Medicago truncatula: one gene and its partner. Each later gene encodes a partner of the first gene's protein in a complex. Links are inferred from orthologs where the notes say so. Each region holds a gene or a part of one and is shown in the gene's direction. Other genes may lie near its edges.

Region 1 (10,125 bases):
AAAAAAAACAATAGTTTTAATTCTAATTTTATAATAGAAAAAGGGATATTCTCCTTCTCAAACCCTAGTCGTCATCTCTTTCTTCTTCTTGTCGGAGGGCTGATTTAGGATCAATTTTGACACAAAAATCACTCATCCGAGTTGTTTTTCCTTATATCTTAATTGAATAAGGCACCGTTTGCTTTGAGCTTATGAAAAATAGCTTATGTAAATAAATAAGCTTTTATTTTAATTTATAAGCTCTCATTAACGAAAATTGTATCTTCATTAACGATTTTTTCATAAACTACCTTAAAAACTTATAAATAATACATAAAAACTTATTTATTTACATAAGCTGTTTTATATAAGCTCTAAAATAAGTTAATCCAAACGGGCCCTAAGTGATTTAACATATTTTCTGTTTTCTTTCGTTTGTTTTTGTGATTTCATCGTCTCTGAACGACTCTGTTTGTTTTGATTTCGAGTCTTTGTGTGGTGTGTTTTTTATTTCTCACCTTAGTGCGGTGTTTATTTGATTCAGGTTGAAAGATTAGCTTTGAAGAAATGCAAATCTTATCAATGACAATGACTTTGGCATCGTCAACGTTGCAGATCTAGAAACATGAATATTCTGGAGTGTTTAATACAGTCATATTAGTCATATTTGTAGGCATAGGTATTTTGCCGTTTTATGTTAATAACATGGATGTTGTGATTTTTTCACATATTCATACTTTTTGTTTTTAGCGAATTTGAATTTGTATTGTATCGATGTACTTTATCAATTTGAATAAATGAATATCTTTTATTTTTGTCAAAAAAAAATTATAATGGAAAAAGACAAGTCTTAAACTCAAACGTTATGGGTTCAAAGCCCACTAGGAGGAGTTAGAATAGGGTAGGTGAGTAATGGTTTCGTTCGGTATTCGATCAGAAAAAATATTTAAACTGATAATATTCGTAAATTAATAAGCAACATGCTCTCTTCAATAATCTCAAAGTAAGGAAAATTACCTGTTGTAAACTTACAAGCAACATGATCTCTTCTAAATCGATCAAATTAAAGAAGAAAAAGTTACTTATGAGCAACATGATTTCTTCATTAATCACAAAGTAAGGAAAGTCATTTGAAAATGTATGATCAACTCAAGACTTTATAATATTTGCAAACCTGTATGCAATGTTATTTAATTATACTATATATAAATAAAAGGGTTAATAGGTCTTGACCCCCCTGTAATATAGGTCATTTCTGGTTTTCACCCTGTAAAATTTTTATTTTGATTCACCCTCCTGTAAAATATTATTTTTTTCAAGAAATTTTTGTTTTTCGTTGATTTGTTATAACTTAAAAGCAACAAACATTTATATTTTTAGTTTTAATCAAAATCAAAATTTCATAAAAAAAAACTATTCATAATTTTCAAACGTTATCGCAATAAAAAATAACACGTGAGTGTCCGTCTTTTCGCTAGTGTTAATGATGAAGGGATGTTTTTAAAATAAAAAATGCAAGGTAGAATCTTTTTTGGAAATTGGTGACTTTATACTTGCATCAATTTTTGTAATGTCTAATATATGCACATGCCTAATTTTTAGGATTAACCTCCTATGCATTTTGTGTTGATCAAAAACTTTAATAAAAACATATTATCCCAAAAAGAGGAGAAAACAACCTCGTGACGCTGGTATTATAAGTTGTAAATTCACAAATCTCACTCCATCCATTTGTTATAAGTTGTTGATCCAACGATCCATTCCAAATCACAATATGTTTGTAAATGCATGCGTAAGCCTTCTAGTTTTGGTAAACTTCCTAACCAAAAATATACACAAAAGTAGGATATATGTCATTGTATGTCTCTAGTCCCATAATATTTTTAACATGGAGATATATTCATTAGTATCCAATTATTAATAATTACAATTAAAAAAAAGTAACAATAATTAAATAACGTTAATGAGTTACAACATCTCTGATATGAATTGTTTTGAACTCAGTCTTTCTTGGTTTTCCTCGACACATTTCCCCCAATGTTGCTGAAACTGACCACATAGGTATTTGTTAACAGTAAAATCGTTTTTACAACTTAAAGAAATCAATCTACTTTAGATTAGTAGTGGTAGCGAATGCAATGAAATTATATAGTAAGAATGGATTTACAAATAATTGAATATTGTCCATATGTTGGATACTACTTGTTCAAATATTTCTTAAAAATCTTTATAGGGTATATAACAAATTTGGTTAATGAGCACGTATAATTACTTTGATTTCTTGTTTGTGTAAGATGTTTGGTTACTATATATTCACGTGACTTTTTAAAAAATTTATTTAGAATATAAAATATATGAAAGAATGTATTTTTATAAGTTTTAGCTAATAAAGAGTAACTGTTTACAACATTAGTAAACAACCTTAAAATATAAAAAATAACATTAATAAACATCCTCTTGGAAGCTAAAGTGAGTAGCAATTTACAATGGACATCTATATATGAAAAATTATGAAGAATTTAATCACAAATGTCTGCAAAGTTAAATAGAATTTGGGATAAAAATTAAGATGAACATAAACATCTTCATGATGTTGCACCAACAGCTGCCACTCATTACGCCAAGCTGATATGCTCTAAAAATTTACTAACCATCTAAGAATATATAAGAAAATACAATTTTACCCTCAACAAGGGCATATTCGTAAAGTAATATGGGTGATTTCGAAGTTAGAGTTCTACATCTACTGATGATGTCATTGTCATGTCTTTGATTTCCCTCCTTCACATCTTCTTCATCATTTCTTTCTTCTTTACTAAAGTTGAAGTTCTTCAACTCGTTCAACTTCAATATTTCTTGATGTTAGCTTCCATTCTTTTTTATCAATACCATTTTTTCTATATATCTCAAACCATGCATGACATATTTTTTATTTTATTTCATAAAAGTCTTGCATTTGAACTATTATTTTCCTTTTTCAGATGCATGATTTGTCCAAGCCACTTAACCTAGCATTTACGGTTATAATTTAATTTTTCATTTCATTGATTACTAAAAGGTTTGAGCTTTGCTTTTGAGGTATTTTTTCGATAGATGATTTGTAAGAGGTTTGTTCTTTGCATTTTAGGATTTTACTTTTCTTTCTGTTTTGTTGATTTCTAAAGACCTTTGCATTTTAAGGTGGCGTCCATGTGTGCATTGACTTTGTTAAAATTGGTCTGGAGGGCCAAAACTGCAAAAAAGTCAATACTTAGGAGGCGGTTTTGTAGTTTATTTAGTTAGGGGGCCAATATCGCAACTTCTTGAAACATAGAGTGTCGAAACTGCAATTAAGCCTAATCTTTACTACCGATCTGTAAGTCTACATGTTTTTATCGTAGTGTTATTTATATTTTATCATAATTTAATCAAAGTTAACTATATTATTGCAAATTATTTGATGTGTGATTTCAGAACTCCTGTCATCTACTATTAATGTAGGTTATAATACATATTTACATCTCATACTCTATACTAACTATGTATGTATAAATTATGCTTTTACTCATTTGTGACCATATGTACACAAATATTGTCATAGATACCTTATAATATAAACCTTCATACTCACATGACTTAAAGACTACGCCTAACATACTGATAGACTGGAGTTCTCTTCCGTTTCAACATATCACCTTAATTTGAAGTGTGAGGAGATCTGATATAAATTTTAAGATTTATCATACATAAATATTAGATTGTCTAACCATTTAGCTGCTTATATAGGCAGGGATTTGAAAGACATTGAATAAGAGTGTTAGCACATTAAGAGTCATTGAGAAGCTTCAAATCAAGGATGTTGGGCCATTGCCTAATTTGAATAATTTTGTTGGATAGTCATTCGAAAATCCTTTGTTGAAACTAGAAGTATATTTTCATTCTCTTTGTCCTTGAAGTCCTTTATTTGTTTCTACACGTGATCAGAAGAAGACAAAATTATACTCAGATCCTTTGATGGAGATAGCTATAGAAGACGACAAATCTGACGTGGAGTATGGGTCCCTCACGATCTGTTGAGTCTAGGGGTCTTTCGAGTCTGATGATCTTCATCGAGTCTAATGAGGTTGATCTTCGGCTTCTGAGAGACGTCATTTTCTTCTAATCCAAGATGTTGACTTTCGGTTGACCTTTCTTCAGATCTTCTACCATATTCTTTTAAGCTTCTCTTGTGCTTCCGACGCTTTAATATATGTTCAATCTCTTGATGGATATGTTCTATGATCCTGCACATTTGAACAAATATTAATATATCCAATTGTTCGTCAATACTTTGTTATCATCAAAACCTTAGAGGAATTGTACAAATCAATTTTGTTCCAACAATATTAAGTTCATAATTCCAAATGGAATTGGATGATCAATGGATGTTGTTTGCTACCTATGCCCTGCTTTCTTCCTTATTATTTATCAATGAAATTATCCTTTATGAAATCAGCCTATGTTGTGTTTTCTTTTCAACATTTTGAAGCTATATATGCAGCTTGAATTTGCTTACTATTTAAATTCAGGACTAATGGTACATGAAAAATCATTAAACAGAAATATATTACTATTATTATGGTGAACTGATTAATATGAAATTGTAATTTGAGCAAATTATGAATAAATGTTTCACAAGTATCTCTAAGGTATCTGTGAACATGTCTTTAGAGTGAGAAGTTTTCAAAGAACCAATTGTTATTGAGAGCTCTGAGAATTGATATTTACCATATCTTATGTAGAAATTTGCTTATATATAGATCTTATTGAGAACAAACAAATAAACTCTGTTGCATTTGACATAAAAATTAAGCTCGTTAAATAAATGCGTTCAACTTGAGCTAAATATAATTTGACTCGTCTTTGTTAATGAGATAGCTTGATATACACTTATGCTCATTGTATCTAAGTTGCTTTTATACTACTCATATTAACTTTTTTTGTGACAAAATCTTAAGTTATGATTATCTTTTTGGTTTAAAAATCGTGTCACATGAAAGCTATAAACAATATCTATAATTATTATGAATACCATTAAGGTAAATAAATTTGTTATTGCTCAAATATAACTATTTAATTATATTTAACACTTAACAATCACACACTTAAAAAACTCTCCAGTTTAACTAAAGAGTTCAAACACATCATGGTAATATCATGTATGAAACATGATACTTCAATATTTCTTCATTAAAAAAAAGAAGAGGATTACGTTGAGAAGTAACAAAATATCCTAAAGCTTTACATCATGTTTGTGCTTAGTAGCTTGTAAAAGAGATATGTTATACCATAATATAAGTGAAGTTGAAGTCCCACATTGAAACATTAACAATACCACTTGGGTTGGTCTAGTAGTATTGGCTTGGGATCTGGGAGTGTGCTCCTCCTCAAGGTCTCAGGTTCGATTCTCTTTGGTGTCAATTTGAGGGGTTAGTTTAACTTTTTCAAAAAATATTGGTCGTCCCCTATAAGGCCAAACTCGGATAGTTTTTTTTTCAAGCCCATATTTTCAATAGGTTTTTTTGGTCCGACCTGATAAGGCCCGAAGGCTCTAGACAAGTCAGGTAGCCTATTTTGACAGCTATACTCGCACTACCCTCAAAGGAACTTTCTCCCTCATCCACATCCCCACAGAAAAAACTTCTTTGTATGCGAATTCCCAAAGGCCGTCTCCGCATGGATTCACATTGAAAGATGAAATTCACACAAGTATTAACACTTATGTATAAGCTATTTTGATTGCAAAAACTAAAATAAAAGCAGTGCTAACAACACTCTTTATAACATCCACTCTCTTATCGAGTGAAATCAATATAAATTCTACCATTTTATGTGAGTCTCATTTTCAAAGTAAACAAACCACATTGATTTCATACAATAAGATAGACAATATTAAAGAGAATGTTAAAAAAGCGTTGGTCATACTCTTACTAAAATAAAGTTAAATTATTTTTCGTATAAGCTATAAATAAGCTGATTTTACAAGTCAATACAAACATACCCTTGATCAATTTTTTTGGTTGTTGCTAATTATCTCTTTCATCATTTAAATCTCCATAACCTCTTTTCATAAGTATGCAACGTGGCTAAACAAAAGCCCAAAGTTCAAACAACCCAACTCGTGTTATTTCTTTCTTTCTACCAAACAAAAAGCTAAATCGAAAAAACAAAACAAGAAGAAGAACAACAAGGTTCTCCATTTCCAACACTTCTTAGATCCGCAGGTACATCCTTCATCTTCAATTTCACATCCTCTCATTCTTTTTTCATCTTATTCTTAACCCATTTATCCTTATCTTAATTTACGCTAATTCTTTTACTTTTAAGCTTAAGCTCAAATCTATGTTATAATTTTAATTTAGTTTTCATTCAATTTTTGGTATAAACACATTCAAGCTTGCAATTCACGTGCATTTCAATCTTACCCACAATTTATTTCTTCCTAGATTTGTAGATACAGATTACCCCCAACGCTTTTTGTTCTTGTTAGGGTTTCAGTAATCTTCCCAAAATCCATTTTTTGTATTTATTTATTGATTTAGTTTACATCTGATTGAATTGGGTTGGGATTGAATGTGTGGGGCTTGATGGAGGTTGTTTTGTTGGATTTTTTGTTTAATATGGCATGTTATGAATCAAAAAGTTGTTGAGTGTTTTAAGTTTATGCTTTTGATTTTTCAATTGGGTCTCTGAACTCTGATTATGGGTAATTTGATCCATGTAGCCGACCTCATTTAGTGGGATAAGACTCTGTTGTTGTCTGAACTCTGGTTATGGGTGTGTTTGGATTGACTTATTTGAGCTTATTTACTGTCATAAAAACTTGCGAGATTGTTTCAAGAGGTTATGGAAACAGCCTATCACATGTCCATAAGCTCTTTGAGATAGCTTATGAAAACAACTTATGGTTTTGTTTTAGCTTTTGTTGTAGAAGTAGTGTATGCATAAGCACTTATACGATAAGTGTTGCTATAAACACTTAAGTAAGTTATTTATCCAATTATGGCCTATAACTAATTGGTAATTTGGAAGTTTGTCTTTTGAGGTCTGAATTTTGATTCATGTGCTTTGATTTTATTGGATAGCCGTAAAGTTAATAGTCAATTTTAATTTATTGTCCTCTTAAAAAAAATAAATTTGAACTGTAATGTTTTATTTGACTATCTTTAGCTTTGGACAATTTGGTTTGAATTGATTAACCCAAATTGTTTTTTTTTTTCTTTTTTTTTCGGTCTGAACTCTGATAACGACCAAGGGCCTAATTGGATCGACTTATTTGAGCTTATCTACTAACATAAGTTTTGTAAGACTGTTTGGGGGAAACTTATGACATTGTTCACAAGTTGTTTTTAGCTTATTTTCACAAGTTCTCCAAGATAGCTTATAAAACCAGCTTATACGAAAACAATTTAACTTTATTTTACCTTTTTACTTTAGAAATAGCTTATACATAAGCGCTTATCATAATAAGTGCTTGTGATATAAACTGTTTATCCAAACAGGGCCTAAGTGGGTAAACTTGTTTTTTGACTCACGTGCTCTGATCTTATTGTTTAGCCCAAAAGTTGATAGCCAATTTTTGTAGCATTGTTTTATTTGACTATTTTTAGCTCTGGACAATTTGGTTTGCATTGATTAACTTAAATGTTTTGTTTGGAAACTTGAAATTATTTTCAGGTTGGATAACCATGAGGGGCATTCTTTCTTTAAAGAGGGCAGTGTTGGTTCGACAACATAGCGAAAAGTTGGGTCTTGGTGTTAGATTATTTAGCACTCAGGGTGCCTCAACTGCAAGTACTCCGCAGCCTCCACCACCACCTCCACCTCCAGAGAAAACCCATTTTGGTGGACTTAAGGATGAGGACAGGATTTTTACCAACTTGTATGGGCTGCATGATCCTTTCCTGAAAGGTGCCATGAAACGTGGTGATTGGCATCGCACTAAAGATTTGGTAATTAAGGGTACTGATTGGATCGTTAATGAAATGAAGAAGTCTGGTCTCCGCGGACGTGGTGGTGCCGGTTTTCCTTCTGGCCTTAAATGGTCATTTATGCCAAAAGTATCTGATGGTCGTCCTTCTTACCTTGTTGTTAATGCTGATGAAAGTGAACCTGGCACCTGCAAAGACAGGGAAATCATGCGCCACGACCCACATAAGTTGTTAGAAGGTTGCTTAATTGCTGGAGTGGGAATGAGGGCTACTGCTGCTTACATCTACATCAGGGGTGAATATGTGAATGAACGTTTAAATCTTGAAAAGGCTAGGAAAGAGGCTTATGCAGCTGGTCTTTTGGGTAAGAATGCTTGTGGCTCAGGCTATGATTTTGATGTTCATATCCACTATGGTGCTGGAGCTTATATTTGTGGTGAGGAAACAGCTCTCTTGGAGAGCCTTGAAGGGAAACAAGGTAAACCAAGATTGAAGCCTCCTTTCCCAGCCAATGCAGGATTGTATGGTTGTCCCACCACTGTCACAAATGTGGAAACCGTAGCTGTCTCTCCAACCATTTTAAGGCGTGGGCCAGAATGGTTTGCCAGTTTTGGTAGGAAGAACAACGCTGGGACAAAGTTGTATTGTGTGTCAGGACATGTGAACAAGCCTTGCACTGTTGAGGAGGAAATGAGTATGCCACTGAAGGAATTGATTGAGAGGCACTGTGGAGGTGTTAGAGGAGGATGGGACAATTTGCTTGCTATTATTCCAGGAGGATCATCTGTTCCACTGATTCCAAAACATGTATGTGATGATGTTCTGATGGATTATGATGCGTTGAAGGCTGTTGGGTCAGGGTTGGGGACTGCAGCTGTGATTGTGATGGATAAGTCTACTGATGTTGTGGATGCCATTGCAAGGCTCTCGTACTTCTACAAGCATGAAAGCTGTGGGCAGTGCACACCATGCAGGGAGGGAACAGGATGGCTTTGGATGATCATGGAAAGAATGAAAGTTGGTAATGCCAAGCTAGAAGAAATTGATATGCTTCAGGAGGTGACTAAGCAAATTGAAGGGCACACAATCTGTGCCTTGGGTGACGCTGCTGCATGGCCAGTGCAGGGACTTATCAGGCATTTCAGGCCCGAGCTTGAGAGAAGGATTAAAGAGAATGCACAGAGGGAGTTGCTGCAGGCCACTGGTTAGAGGCCTAGACCAAGGTTGTTCACTAAATTATTTACCCTCATTTTGCTTTTAATCCCATTTACTAAAATAGCTCATAAACACATGGGTATATAGATGAAAAAATATATTTAGCTTAAATTGAAGGATCAGACATTAATATGTTAGTTGTTTAGATAGGTATGAGAGATGCCTTTGGAAAACTTAAATGTGAGAGCTTGTTACTATGGTAGTATGTTATTCCTATGAAGTGATAGCTGTTGAACGTTTATCTTTGAATTTGGGTTAGGTCTAACAGTCACATAAAGCCGGTGGGTAAGGTGAAATATGTCTCCTCCTTATAAACACCATAGCTGTTGAATGTTTATCTTAGAATTTGGGTTAGGTCTAACAGTCTCACAAAGCCGGCTGGTAAGGTGAAATATGTCTCCCCCTTATAAACACCTTTTCAAGCCATATCTCATCCAATGCAGGACTTTCAACAAAACCATCCCTCACGACCATGTCTGCGCATCTGGAGCGTGATCCGTGTGGCCCGATAACGTGTGACCTAATGAATTTATGACAGACTCTCGAGCTTAACTCAACCATACAAACCCGAGTAGTAAGGGGAGGGGTGCCTCCCACTTATAGACATTGTTTAGGCCAAATTGCAGTTAACTTGCATGATCCGTGGCCTGATAACAGGTGACCGACTGGATTTAGGACAAACTCTTGAGTTCAACTCAACCACACAAACCCAAGCAGTAATAGGAGGAATGCCTCCCACTTATAAACATTGTTTAGGCCATATCACATCTAATGTGGGACTCTCGAGTCTCAACAATTGGTTTAGTGTTGAAATCTCATTTTAAGGGTGCAGCTTGTTCCGTCAAAGAAAAGGATGTAGCTTGTTAAATTTGACTGCTTAAAGAAAGTTTGAAGGGTTTGGTTAATTTTATGGGAAGTTAGTTTTTAAAGTAGTTCCTGGGCAGTAACACATTTCTTTTGCTTAGAGGCTTGTATTTGGAAT
Region 2 (10,963 bases), on another chromosome or scaffold:
AGATGTATTTAACTGAAAGTTCTTGAACCTTGATACTTGTTCTTTTGAATTAGGAGATTGCAATGTTCCACTACAAATTGTTAGGGGCTTAGGAGATTGAAATGTTCCACCAGAAATTGTCAGGGGCTTAATATCGAGAAAGTCTTCACGTTGAACTACTTTACCCAAGGCCAATTGGTTATTGTCAGTTTTGGGGGCTGGGGGACTGTTTTTAAGGGCAAGTTTTGCCTTCTGCCGGGATCCCCATATTGCTGTGACATTTATATTCCTCCATTTATCCTGTTCACAATTCAAAGCATACAAATTAGTTCACCAAAAGTATGCAATAGCTTTATCAATTTGATCAAAGAAAAATTATCTATCTTTATGTATTTCTACTAGGCTGTGTTGAAAAGACTTACCTTGAGATCTACATTCGAACGCGTACGCAAAATGGAACTGAACTCGGGATCCATAAGTATTGTGCGCCATTTTCCAGCCCCGTGTTTGACTACTCCAGCTTTCAGTGCTGCTTCTTCTTCTGCAGTCCATTTCTGCTTAGGAGCACCCATGGAAGGAAATCCGACAGTTTTTTTGTGACAGTTTAATCTTTGCTTCTAGGGTTGAGGAAAGCTTGGAATTTCAGTACTCCCCTTCTCTATATGTGCATCTTTGCATTAAAAAAAAACTTTACAATTAGTAGTTGACCAACAATAAACATCAAAATGAAAAGAAAAGAAAAAGTCAAAATGTGACTCTTCTATGTTTATAATAACCAATAAATATAATTAAGTAAATATTACTCATCCCAAACATTGACCTTAGTTCCAAATTCACTTCAATCACATCCACCAACAACCCAACCCAATGTTAACCGATATAGCACCAACACGTCAGATTGAAGGTGTATCTGGTGTCTAACATGTGCAATACGAACACATGTTGTTACTTTCAATTACTTCTATTTCTCAGAGTATAGGTGTCGCCGCGTCGGTGTTGTGTTGGTGCTTCATAAATGTAAAAACAAGAGAAGAGAAGATGTTAGGAACCCAAGAATTGGATTCCTAAGAAAGAACACTTTTATTAAGAAAAAATAGGAAAGAATAGGGAGATAAATCTCTCCTTCAAGGGATTCCCCTTCACAATAGAGTTACTACTCGATTCACACTGTTTACAATATTCAATAATGATCAACTCTACATTGTTTCTCCTATTTATACAAATAGTCCTATAACAACCTCAACTAACCAACTAACTACTCCCTCCTTCCTAAATTAAGTGACCCATTTGGTCATTTCACACATATTAAGAAAAATGTATACTAAGTGAATGAGAGAGAAAAATGGTTTTGAATGTTTTTGTCAAGTATTGGTGCATTTACCATTATCATAGATGCAAAAAAGAATATATTAAATTGGGAGTGATGACAGTAGTATTAATTAGAGTTATAATTGAAAAAAAAGTAATTAATATTGCATTGAGAACTGAAATGGGTCAGTTATTTTAGGACAATATTTTTTTTACAAAAGAGTCACTTATTACTGGACAAAGGGAGTAACAACCCTATAACAATCCCAGCTAACTAACTTCTATAAGACTATAACAACTTTTAACCATCAATCTAAATAATCACCATTCTATATCTATATCCTATGTTTGAGAGTTGGTTTTTGGTTTTGGAGGTTTTTAGAGGGCAGGGGTTTGGAGGGCTACGTCTATATCAAATATGTATGAAAATATAGACATAGCCCTCCCCCTTCAAAACCCTCCAAAAACCAACTCGCAAACACACCCTTACATAACAACTCCACAGATTCAAGCAACCAATAATTTGTAATATTTGGCTGGCAAAGAGTAACCTAAGTTATAACATTGTAATATGCATATAGAACATTTTTACAATCAGTATTGAAAAATGCAATTAGCCCTTTATGAAAATAAAGGTAGAAATTTGAACACAACCTGGAAAAACCTACAATTATGCATTGCATCAAAATGCAAACGTTAGGGATTTTAATTTCTCATTTTTAAATTTCATAAATCAATCAAACAAAAATTGCATTGAAAAATGAAAAGCTTTTCCCTTTAAGCTCACCCATTAAGAAAAAAACAACATTGAGTTAGAAAATCAGAAACACATTCAAAACAACAAAACCAGCCACATGCATTCAAGTGGGAAGAGAAAGAACAGATTATACTTCTAACCAACAAAAAAAAAAGGCAAAAATTGAAACTTTCTTTGAGGGAAAACGAAAGGGTCAAAAAATTATAGAAGAATCGGTTAGGTGTGTACCTAATCACTGGGCGATGAAGAGAATTGCGAAAAGTTGAAGCATTTGAGGAACAGAAATCGAAAAATCCGAATGAATTTGCAAAACGGCAGAGAAAGAGAAAGAATGTGTTCTATTCAACCCAATTGTGTGTCTTCATTTTGTTTTATCAACTTAACCTCTGAAAATATTCTATACCCTTGTCATTTATTCCGAATATAATTTATCCAAATTGCAAGAATGCCCTCTAATATCTCTTATTTGGTCAAATAATTTATCGGATAGGATTCACTTTTTAAAATGAATAAACGTGTGTTCGGATTTTAAACACCGACACTTACATATAATAATGATTTGTCTTTATCAACTGATATATTTCATAGATATAGATCTCTTGTTAGTTACTCGTATAAAATTACAACTTAGTAAATTGATGATAAATTGATAAATAAGCAGGAAAAAAAATTGATTGCAAACGATGAAACATACACACACATAACATAGTCTACTATCAGAGAAGAAAGACAAAGGAACAAGTGCTAGAGAGCTACAAAAATGTAACGATGAAACTGTGATAAGAGTAACAAGTAGCAACACATGATGAATATTGAGAAGCTTACCTCTATCCACTTTCTTTTTTTTTTCAGTGATTCAGGTAGCAAAAAAATTCGTCTCCATTATTCTGATTTTGTCTCATATATTTATACCCAAAAATTAGTATAAAGTAGCTAGGAGGAAGAGGACAAAAATGCAAAGTTGGTGATTTTCAGAAAATGTAGAGCAATGAGCAAAGGTACAACGGCTCAAAAAGGGAAAAGAAAAGAGCAATTGAAAAAAGATAAATTGGGAGGAGCCCTCAAGAGTCAAGAGGAAGGATACGATGCATATACTTTGCCATAGTTTTTTATCTTTGTTTTTTCTTTCTCAACTAGTGAGACAGTTTTTCTGTATTTTGTTTTCATTTTATATCTTTCCTATTTTTGTCATTTTTATTTTTATATTATAACTCTGTTTTATCATGAGATTATTATTAATACAAGAAACAGAGTATTTTGAATTTTAATTTGTGACCTTGAGCTTGTAATCCAAAATCTTGTATTTTTATTGTACTTAAGTTGAATCAAAACAAGAGACTTGTATAATAAAATTAATCCAATGAATGTTATTTATTTTATGACTGAAATCTAATGAGTGTTATTATTTATCAATTTTTATAAGAGAACAAAATAGATTAATATAAAAAAATGAACAAAGTTAGGGTATTACAAACTTGAAATAAACTAAAAATAACAGCAAAACAAAAGCAAAGAAACACAACGATAAAAACACTAGCAAATACATTAGATCTTAAACTGGTTGGCGATGAAGTGACCAAAATACAAAGATATCATAGTGACTTTCGATGGGGGCGTTAGACGACCAATTTTGCAAGTGAGGTCGCAATCAGTGGGGAAAGATTTAGAGGCCGTGATGCCTAAGGCATGTTTACATAGGCATAAGTGAATTCTTTTGTTGGTACGAGAACCTTTAAGACCAAGGAAAAACTTGAGATTACCTACGTCTTTGATGCAAAAGGATGAATAGAAAAGACTTTTAATAACATTGATTTATGTGGAGTTCATTGTGAGAACAATGTCGTCTACGTAAACTAGCAGAATAGTGAAGGAATGAGAAGATGATTTGATTAACAAGGAGTGATCATATTCTGAATGATGGTATCCAATAATGATAATTGCAGAAGACAATTTAATAAACCATTGCCTACTTGCTTGACATAGACCAAAAGGGGGTTTGTTGAGACAACATGCTTGATTAGAAGAGGTAGGCATGAGACCTGATGCCAACTCCATCCAATTGTTGAAGAATCCTTCCTTTAGCAACTACAATGGAAAGTAAAAGACATACAATAGTTATTTTAGCAACAAGTGAGAAGGTATCAAGAGAGTTTACCCCTTCTTGTCGAGTGTAGTCTTTGACCATAAGGAATGTTTTAAAGCGTTCTATAGTGCCATTAACTTTATGTTTGATACGATACTCCCATTTGCAACCAATCACAACTTTATCTTTAGATAAGGCGGTTAGTGACCAAGCATTTTTAGTTGTAATGGCTCGAAGTTTGTTGGTCATGGCATTAATCCCTTTTTGTAATTTGATAGCCTACTTATAGGTTTGCGTTCAATAGCATTGGAAATGGAAAATGTGTAATGAAGATTAGATAGAAATAATTTATGATAAGATAGTACAAAGTGTAAAAGATACATCAAATTGGGTGTATAAGAGGATAGTTGAGTTTCACGATGACAATGAAAATCTTAGAGACAGTTAAGAGCCTTTATAGTTTTAGTGGATCGTCTGAGTTTGGTTGTGTCAAAAGTTAGTTTTTGGTAAGGATTGAGAATATTTTACGATGAAAGGTCACAAGTTATGGTAGGTCTGAAGTTCAAGGATTAGAGATGGGTTTAGTGTAATTTGTTTTGGTGCATTATGCAGAATCAACAAGGTCATTGAACAGAAAAATTGAATAATCTTGGATTTGTACAATCAATACTAAGAAAAATAATCAATAATTTCAACATAAGCAAAAGTAGATTCATGAAAAAATAGCATTTCTTGTAATGAAAACTTATCTAGTAGATAGATCAAAGACAAGATAACCTTTTGTACCAAATTTGAATCTCAAGAAGATCCATTTTATTGCTCGTGGATCAATTTTAGTACAATGTTGTTCCAAGGTAGAAACAGAAAAGTCAGAGGTTTATCATACACCATTTCAAAAGGAGTCTGATTTTGCAAAATAGGAATGGGTAATATATTGATTAGATAAACAACATGAGTCATTGCATAAAGATCATAAAGCAATTCGAAAGGAGTTTTATGTTATCATAGTCGTTGTCTTTCGCGGATGAACTACTCCGTTGTTTTTTTTATTTTTCTTGATTAAGACCATTTTCTTCTTGTGGGCCTTCATATTATACATGGTGTTATCTAGTGTTTGTTCTTTATGACAATGTCATCGAGGCGGTGACGCGTCATGGTTTTTGGGACCTTCTACTTCGTGTCTTCTTGGAGATGGAAAACACCGATAAAGGAAACTTTTGTATCAGTTGACTTGCCTATTGAATGGTGAATTTCTAGTTTATGGATCCACCATGTTAGACATTAGAGTCACCATGTTAGACATTTTGTAACCGGCATAATAATGGGATCCTAATGCATTGGTAAATCTTACTGAGGGCTCCACAGTGGGCGTCAATGTTCACGCGTGAACACACAAAATGGATCATCAAAGTCGATGATGTAATCTTCACATCTCTAGTCATACGCTCCTTCTTCAGGCGAGGAAGGTGTACTTGCAAAGACACCATGATGCCAAAGTAAGATAAGACATACCTTGACACGAATATGAAAACGGATAACAAGTCATCATACTTAGGGGTGAACCCCTTATTTATATATTATATGCACTCATATACACTTAATCTTGTTACTATTTTCACTCTAGTGATTGTTGAGGTCGTTACTAGATATGTGTTGTTTGTCACCGTAAAAAATTATCAAGATAGCCACTTACACATATTTATTTGATATACGCTCCTTGGTGTTAGAAGCATGTCAGTGCTTATAAACTCCTTATATGTTGGTGTGTTAGTTTTTTGGGATGACATTGGGGTTGTTTTCAGTTTCTACACTATGTCATTTTGTTATGCTAAAATGGACACATCATAAATTCTCTTCATTCATACTTCACAATCGGGTGTATTTTCTCTTTTTAAAGTCGATTTCCTTAGTGGATAATCCATAATGTTTTAGTTTGTCTTCTAAGGCCCGTATCATTACAAGTTATATATGACATATTACACTTGTTGTGCATTCCAATGATTTTAAGGCCAGCAAAGACCGACCTAGAACTTTAGAAAAAGATGAATAATTAATTGATCATGAAATATCATATTTTAGTTAAATTTAGAATCACTAACATATTTGTTAGTTATATACTTTTTTATGTTATTTATTATCAACCTATTAACAATACACAATCCTTCATTCATACAAAGACGTTCTTTTAATATGCTCCCTTCAGACTCTATTATAAACAAAAAATGATTTTTTAGATTTTTTGAATAACTAATATATTCGGTTTGTAATATAAATCAAATATATTAGTTATACAAGGAATTTAAAAAGTGAAATGTTGATCGGAGAGAGTTATATTATGGTTATAGTAATTTTAATATATTATAATAATGTTTAATATATATTATTGCTACCATTTAAAATTTTAAAAAGCACTCTTAAGAAAGGGAAAATTTGTAAAATGTAAAAGTAAAAGGGCCAAGCTAAAAATTTATCGGAACAAAAGCGAACGAGAAAGGCTCGGGAGGTTCATTTTGTCTTTGGCACCATCCTCCGCAGAATCAAAATTCCCATCAAACGATGACGAACATCCTGCTACGCACGGCGAGTCGCGGTGGTTCCCTACGCGCCACCCTCATCCGCCGGTTCTCCACTGATGCATTGGTTGAGTCCAAACCCGGCGAGATCGGTTTGGTTTCTGGAATCCCACAAGAACACCTTCGTAGAAGGGTATTATGCTTTAAATTTTTCGTTTTTTTTTTTTCTTCCGGTTTTTCATTCCCCAATTTTATTATATTTGTTTCATTATTATGGTAGAATAAAAGTTTTTATTTTTTATATGTAGTATAATTGTTTTAGATTCAATTGAAGTTTTGTTTTGTTGAAATTTTGCAAAATAATTGATGCATCATTAGATCCTATGTAATGGACTTAGCTTAACCGGCAATGCCGATATTGTCAGGCTGGACACCTTCACCCGGGTTCCAAGCCGGGACTTTGCAGTTGTCTGCGTGAGTTTTAGGTGGTGTTTATCACTTCATTTAAAGACAAAAAAATAATTGACCTGTTAAACACCTGTTAACAATTGAAATTCAATTAGGCGTTTAGCTTATACTTGCAATGTGATGGCAGGTTTTGATTTACTCACCTGCTAGAACTGCTGGTCAACAAGGATCTGGGAATGTTGGAAGATGGAGGATCAACTTCTTATCAACCCAGAAGTAAATTCTCTCTGTTTATCATTTTTCTTTCACTGCTTGTTTAGATATTGTTTTACTAGTTTTAGAACTCGAATTATTTATTATTTTTCCCTAACAAGTTTGATGTTTCTGCGCTGGATATCTGTTGTCTGGATTAGGATTCTCTCATGTAGGAAAAACACTAGGAAATAATGTGGAATATCTATATCATTGAAATATAATGGGTGAAGAGTTTTGAAATTTATAATAATGAAGAGTTGAGATTTGAAACTTAAGAAAATTTGAGAGAAAAAAAATGGAGAGGATGCATTTCCCTGTTGTCCATATATCTCGATTTTTGACAAATTTCTTATCGAAATTCATTCATAAAAGCGGAACTTATGCTATCATTGACATTACATTTCCTGCACATGTGGAAATTTTCAGAGTTTTAATCACTATGTTATTTTACATATGTTATGATTCTTCCTGGGCATCTCTAAGTAGTTTAAGGAGTTGCTAGTTGTTTCAGTATAATATCCTGAATTTATACTTTAATTCTTTAACTGATCTTATTGTTAAATTTGTAATACCTAATAATAGTTTAATTTGTACTGTGAACTAATATGTCTATAGGTGGGAAAATCCACTGATGGGGTGGACATCCACCGGAGACCCATATTCCCATGTTGGTGATTCTGCGTTGGATTTTGATACTGAAGAAGCGGCAAAGGAATTTGCAGAGAGACATGGTTGGGAATACGTGGTATGTTTTTGCCATTCAAACATAGGTCACATAAAATTTTATGTTTTTCTAAGCCTTCAAAGTGCTCCAGTTATGATTCATAATTTCATACTTGTGCTTATTAAAGTAAACCATTATCAGATGGATTGGTTCACCTTCTCTTGCTCATGTCTCGCCTAGGATATTAACTTAAAATCACAATCTATAGAATGAGGGTTTCAATATTGTCCGAGCAGTCTAACTTACAAGAATCAGCATATCTTGCTTCTCAACTGATATGAAGAGTTTATCATTGAACTGTGGCTACTGTGTTTGTTAGTCATTTAATTTCGTTTAAAATTTCAAGTATTAGGCTGCTAAATAAAAAAGTTCAATTTATAAGTCTATTATTTTCTGCATGAGATGAAGCCAGATGCGCAAGCCTGCATCTGTAACAGATATGGCCAGATTGCATCTGGAATAGAAACAGATGAGGGATAGACTTGACCTGAGATGGGTTTAAACTACTTCCAGGACTAGGACTGGTAAGCTCAAGCTGCATCTAGAACATAAGTTGGGAGTTGGTTTGCATTCAAATAACGACAAGGTAGAGCATGTCTTGGACAAAGACTGAGCTCATTCTGCATCTAGGACTAGGATGAGACTACAGCACTTATGAAACAAAAGCCGAGGTTAGAGAGTGCCTGGGACGAGGATTTAAGCTTGAGACCTTATAACTTTCTCATGTCAATGCTATGCTAGTAATAGAAAAGACAGAAATGCTAAATACAAACGCGCAGACACTCACTTTTTAGCACACGCCTGTATACACTGCGACGACCTTATAACTTGTTAACTGGCTTAACCAGTTGGTGTATTTTTAATTTTTGTATGACTTTGTTCCTGGAAAAAAGAGGCCAACGGTTGCTCGGGGTCTTTAGTCATCCATGTGTGACTGCAGGTCCTTGGACTCTAGATCCCCACCTTTCTAGGTTCAACTTCTTTCCCATTCTATTCCAAAAATAAAATAAAAAATCAACTGGGTTATTGCTTCAGCAGAGCTACAACCCATAACCATAACTCCTTTAAAAACTACCAACCCCACCTAAGATCCTCACTACCCAAATCAAATCCAATCCATGAAGAAGCCCCACCATCACCAGGAGAGGAATCCACGAAAGAAACACCCATCTAAGAAATTCGAAACAATGATTCCCATTGTGGAAGTAGCAGAGGTTGTTTCTTCAGCAGGTCCTTGTACTCTTAAGCCACTCAAAGATTTTCAATTTATGAAACCATCGGAATTGATGCAAATTGGCTTTGTCTTTGGTTTATGCAACCTGTTAATTTTTTTGTTAATTTTATAATTATTTGATCTTACGTTGCAAATTTGAACTTGAGTGGTTGTTGATGGTGGTTTTAATTAGAAAGAATGGTGGATAGTGGTGGTGGTTGGATGGAGAAGACCCTTCAAATTGCTACTGCTTCGTAACTGTGAAATCCAAAGTAAAAAAAATAAAAATGTTATGCGAAACTGAGTAACAAGTGGCCAAATAAATTGTTTGAAATATGGATGACGTGGTCCAATTAATAAGAGTGTGATCACGAGAGTTTGTTTTAGCATTTGACGCCAGCATTGCTCTAGAAAAGAATGAACTGGACGAATAACTTTACTGTATGACTTCTGTGCAATAGATGTGAAGTGTTTTAATCTAAGTAATAGTTGTGCTTTAAGTTATTTTCGGATAAAGCAGAGGCTAGATAAATTGTAAGATGGGAAGACTAAAGATCTCAATTGGTTGTGACTTCAAACAACCAGACGACAATCGCTAGCCTAAACGAAGAATGAGATTGTAAACCTCCAAAGTGGAATGAGGTCACAAATAACTGTGTCTTCTAAGCCTTCAAAGTGCTTTAGTTATGATTCATAACTGTTCATATTAAAGTAAACTATTATCAAGTGGATTGGTTCACATTCTCTTGCTCGAGACTCAGTTAGGATATTAACTTAAGAGAACTTCTACTGTGCACAAGCTAGTTTGGTTGTGCTTGGTACACAATTTTATTTATTTATTTATTTAATTTTTTTTTTACGATTGAATGATATAGAGGCTCACGAAATCTATCATAAACTCATCACACTGGATTTTCTTCTCACGTACTCCCACCTCCTCAAATGTTTGCCCCACTTGATAACATCTGAGTCCTTGATATTTGTCCATCATCCTCCTCGTCCCTTTTTGCATCTTCTTCAGACAGACTCATAACTTCATGCCCAAATCCTAAAACACGTTGCTCACAAAAAATATCACTTCTTCACAGTGAAACTAGTTCAAATAGAGGAAACTGAGGAAGTGAGGGAGGGTCATGTTTCTCCAACAATTCATCCTCAACAGAAATTTAAATGGTGTTTTTCTCACAATTTACACCCTGAAACTAAATTTCAAACCCATTGACTGAAAGTGGGGAGACTCGATTACATTAATCCCGCTTTAACAGAACCCATTGAAGTGAGAAGGAAAGTTTGACTGGGGAGGTAAAATGGATGTCAGAGATAAAGAAAAAACTCTGGTAGGATAGGAAGAGAGAAAAAGATTCATTGTAGAGAGTGGACTATTAAATATGATGGATTTCTTTGATCCGATGGTAAATATATATTAGGCATGATGCAACACTTATTGTACTTGTGCATGTTAGAATTGGCCTTAACCTGAAATCACAGTCTATAGAACTGGGATCAGCAGACCTTGTTTCTCAGATGATTGGGGGAGTTTATTATTGAACTGTGCTTGTCAGTCATTTAATTTTTTTTCAATTTTCAAGCATTAGGCTTCTCAACAGAAAAGCCCACTTGGTAAGTCTCTATATGTAGTTTTGTGAATGAGATGAAGCTGGACTGCATCTGGAGCAGATATGACTCGATGCATTTGGAATAGAATTATAGAAACGGGCGGGGG

What was found.
Region 2: the proteins of NADH dehydrogenase [ubiquinone] flavoprotein 1, mitochondrial (region 1) and NADH dehydrogenase [ubiquinone] iron-sulfur protein 4, mitochondrial are in contact, whole or in part, in a cryo-EM structure (PDB 8BED), measured with the Arabidopsis thaliana proteins. The link is inferred for Medicago truncatula from reciprocal best matches to the Arabidopsis thaliana genes CI51 and FRO1. Residues at the interface, in NP_196470.1 of Arabidopsis thaliana: Gly131, Arg132, Pro133, Glu237, Arg247, Leu248, Pro250, Pro251, Tyr259, Gly260, Cys261; in NP_201560.1 of Arabidopsis thaliana: Tyr140, Ser141, Phe144, Trp146.

Annotation. Positions count from the first base shown.
Region 1 is NC_053042.1:16,132,002-16,142,126, reverse strand, and holds the start of NADH dehydrogenase [ubiquinone] flavoprotein 1, mitochondrial, read left to right. Parts: upstream 1-6,046; 5' UTR 6,047-6,221; intron 6,222-7,674; 5' UTR 7,675-7,685; coding exon 7,686-9,137; 3' UTR 9,138-9,151; intron 9,152-10,125. UniProt on the Arabidopsis thaliana protein: Core subunit of the mitochondrial membrane respiratory chain NADH dehydrogenase (Complex I) that is believed to belong to the minimal assembly required for catalysis. Complex I functions in the transfer of electrons from NADH to the respiratory chain.
Region 2 is NC_053045.1:47,950,692-47,961,654, forward strand, and holds the start of NADH dehydrogenase [ubiquinone] iron-sulfur protein 4, mitochondrial, read left to right. Parts: upstream 1-6,596; 5' UTR 6,597-6,683; coding exon 6,684-6,833; intron 6,834-7,235; coding exon 7,236-7,324; intron 7,325-7,918; coding exon 7,919-8,048; intron 8,049-10,963. Other genes in the region: telomere repeat-binding factor 2, read right to left, coding at 14-279, 402-551.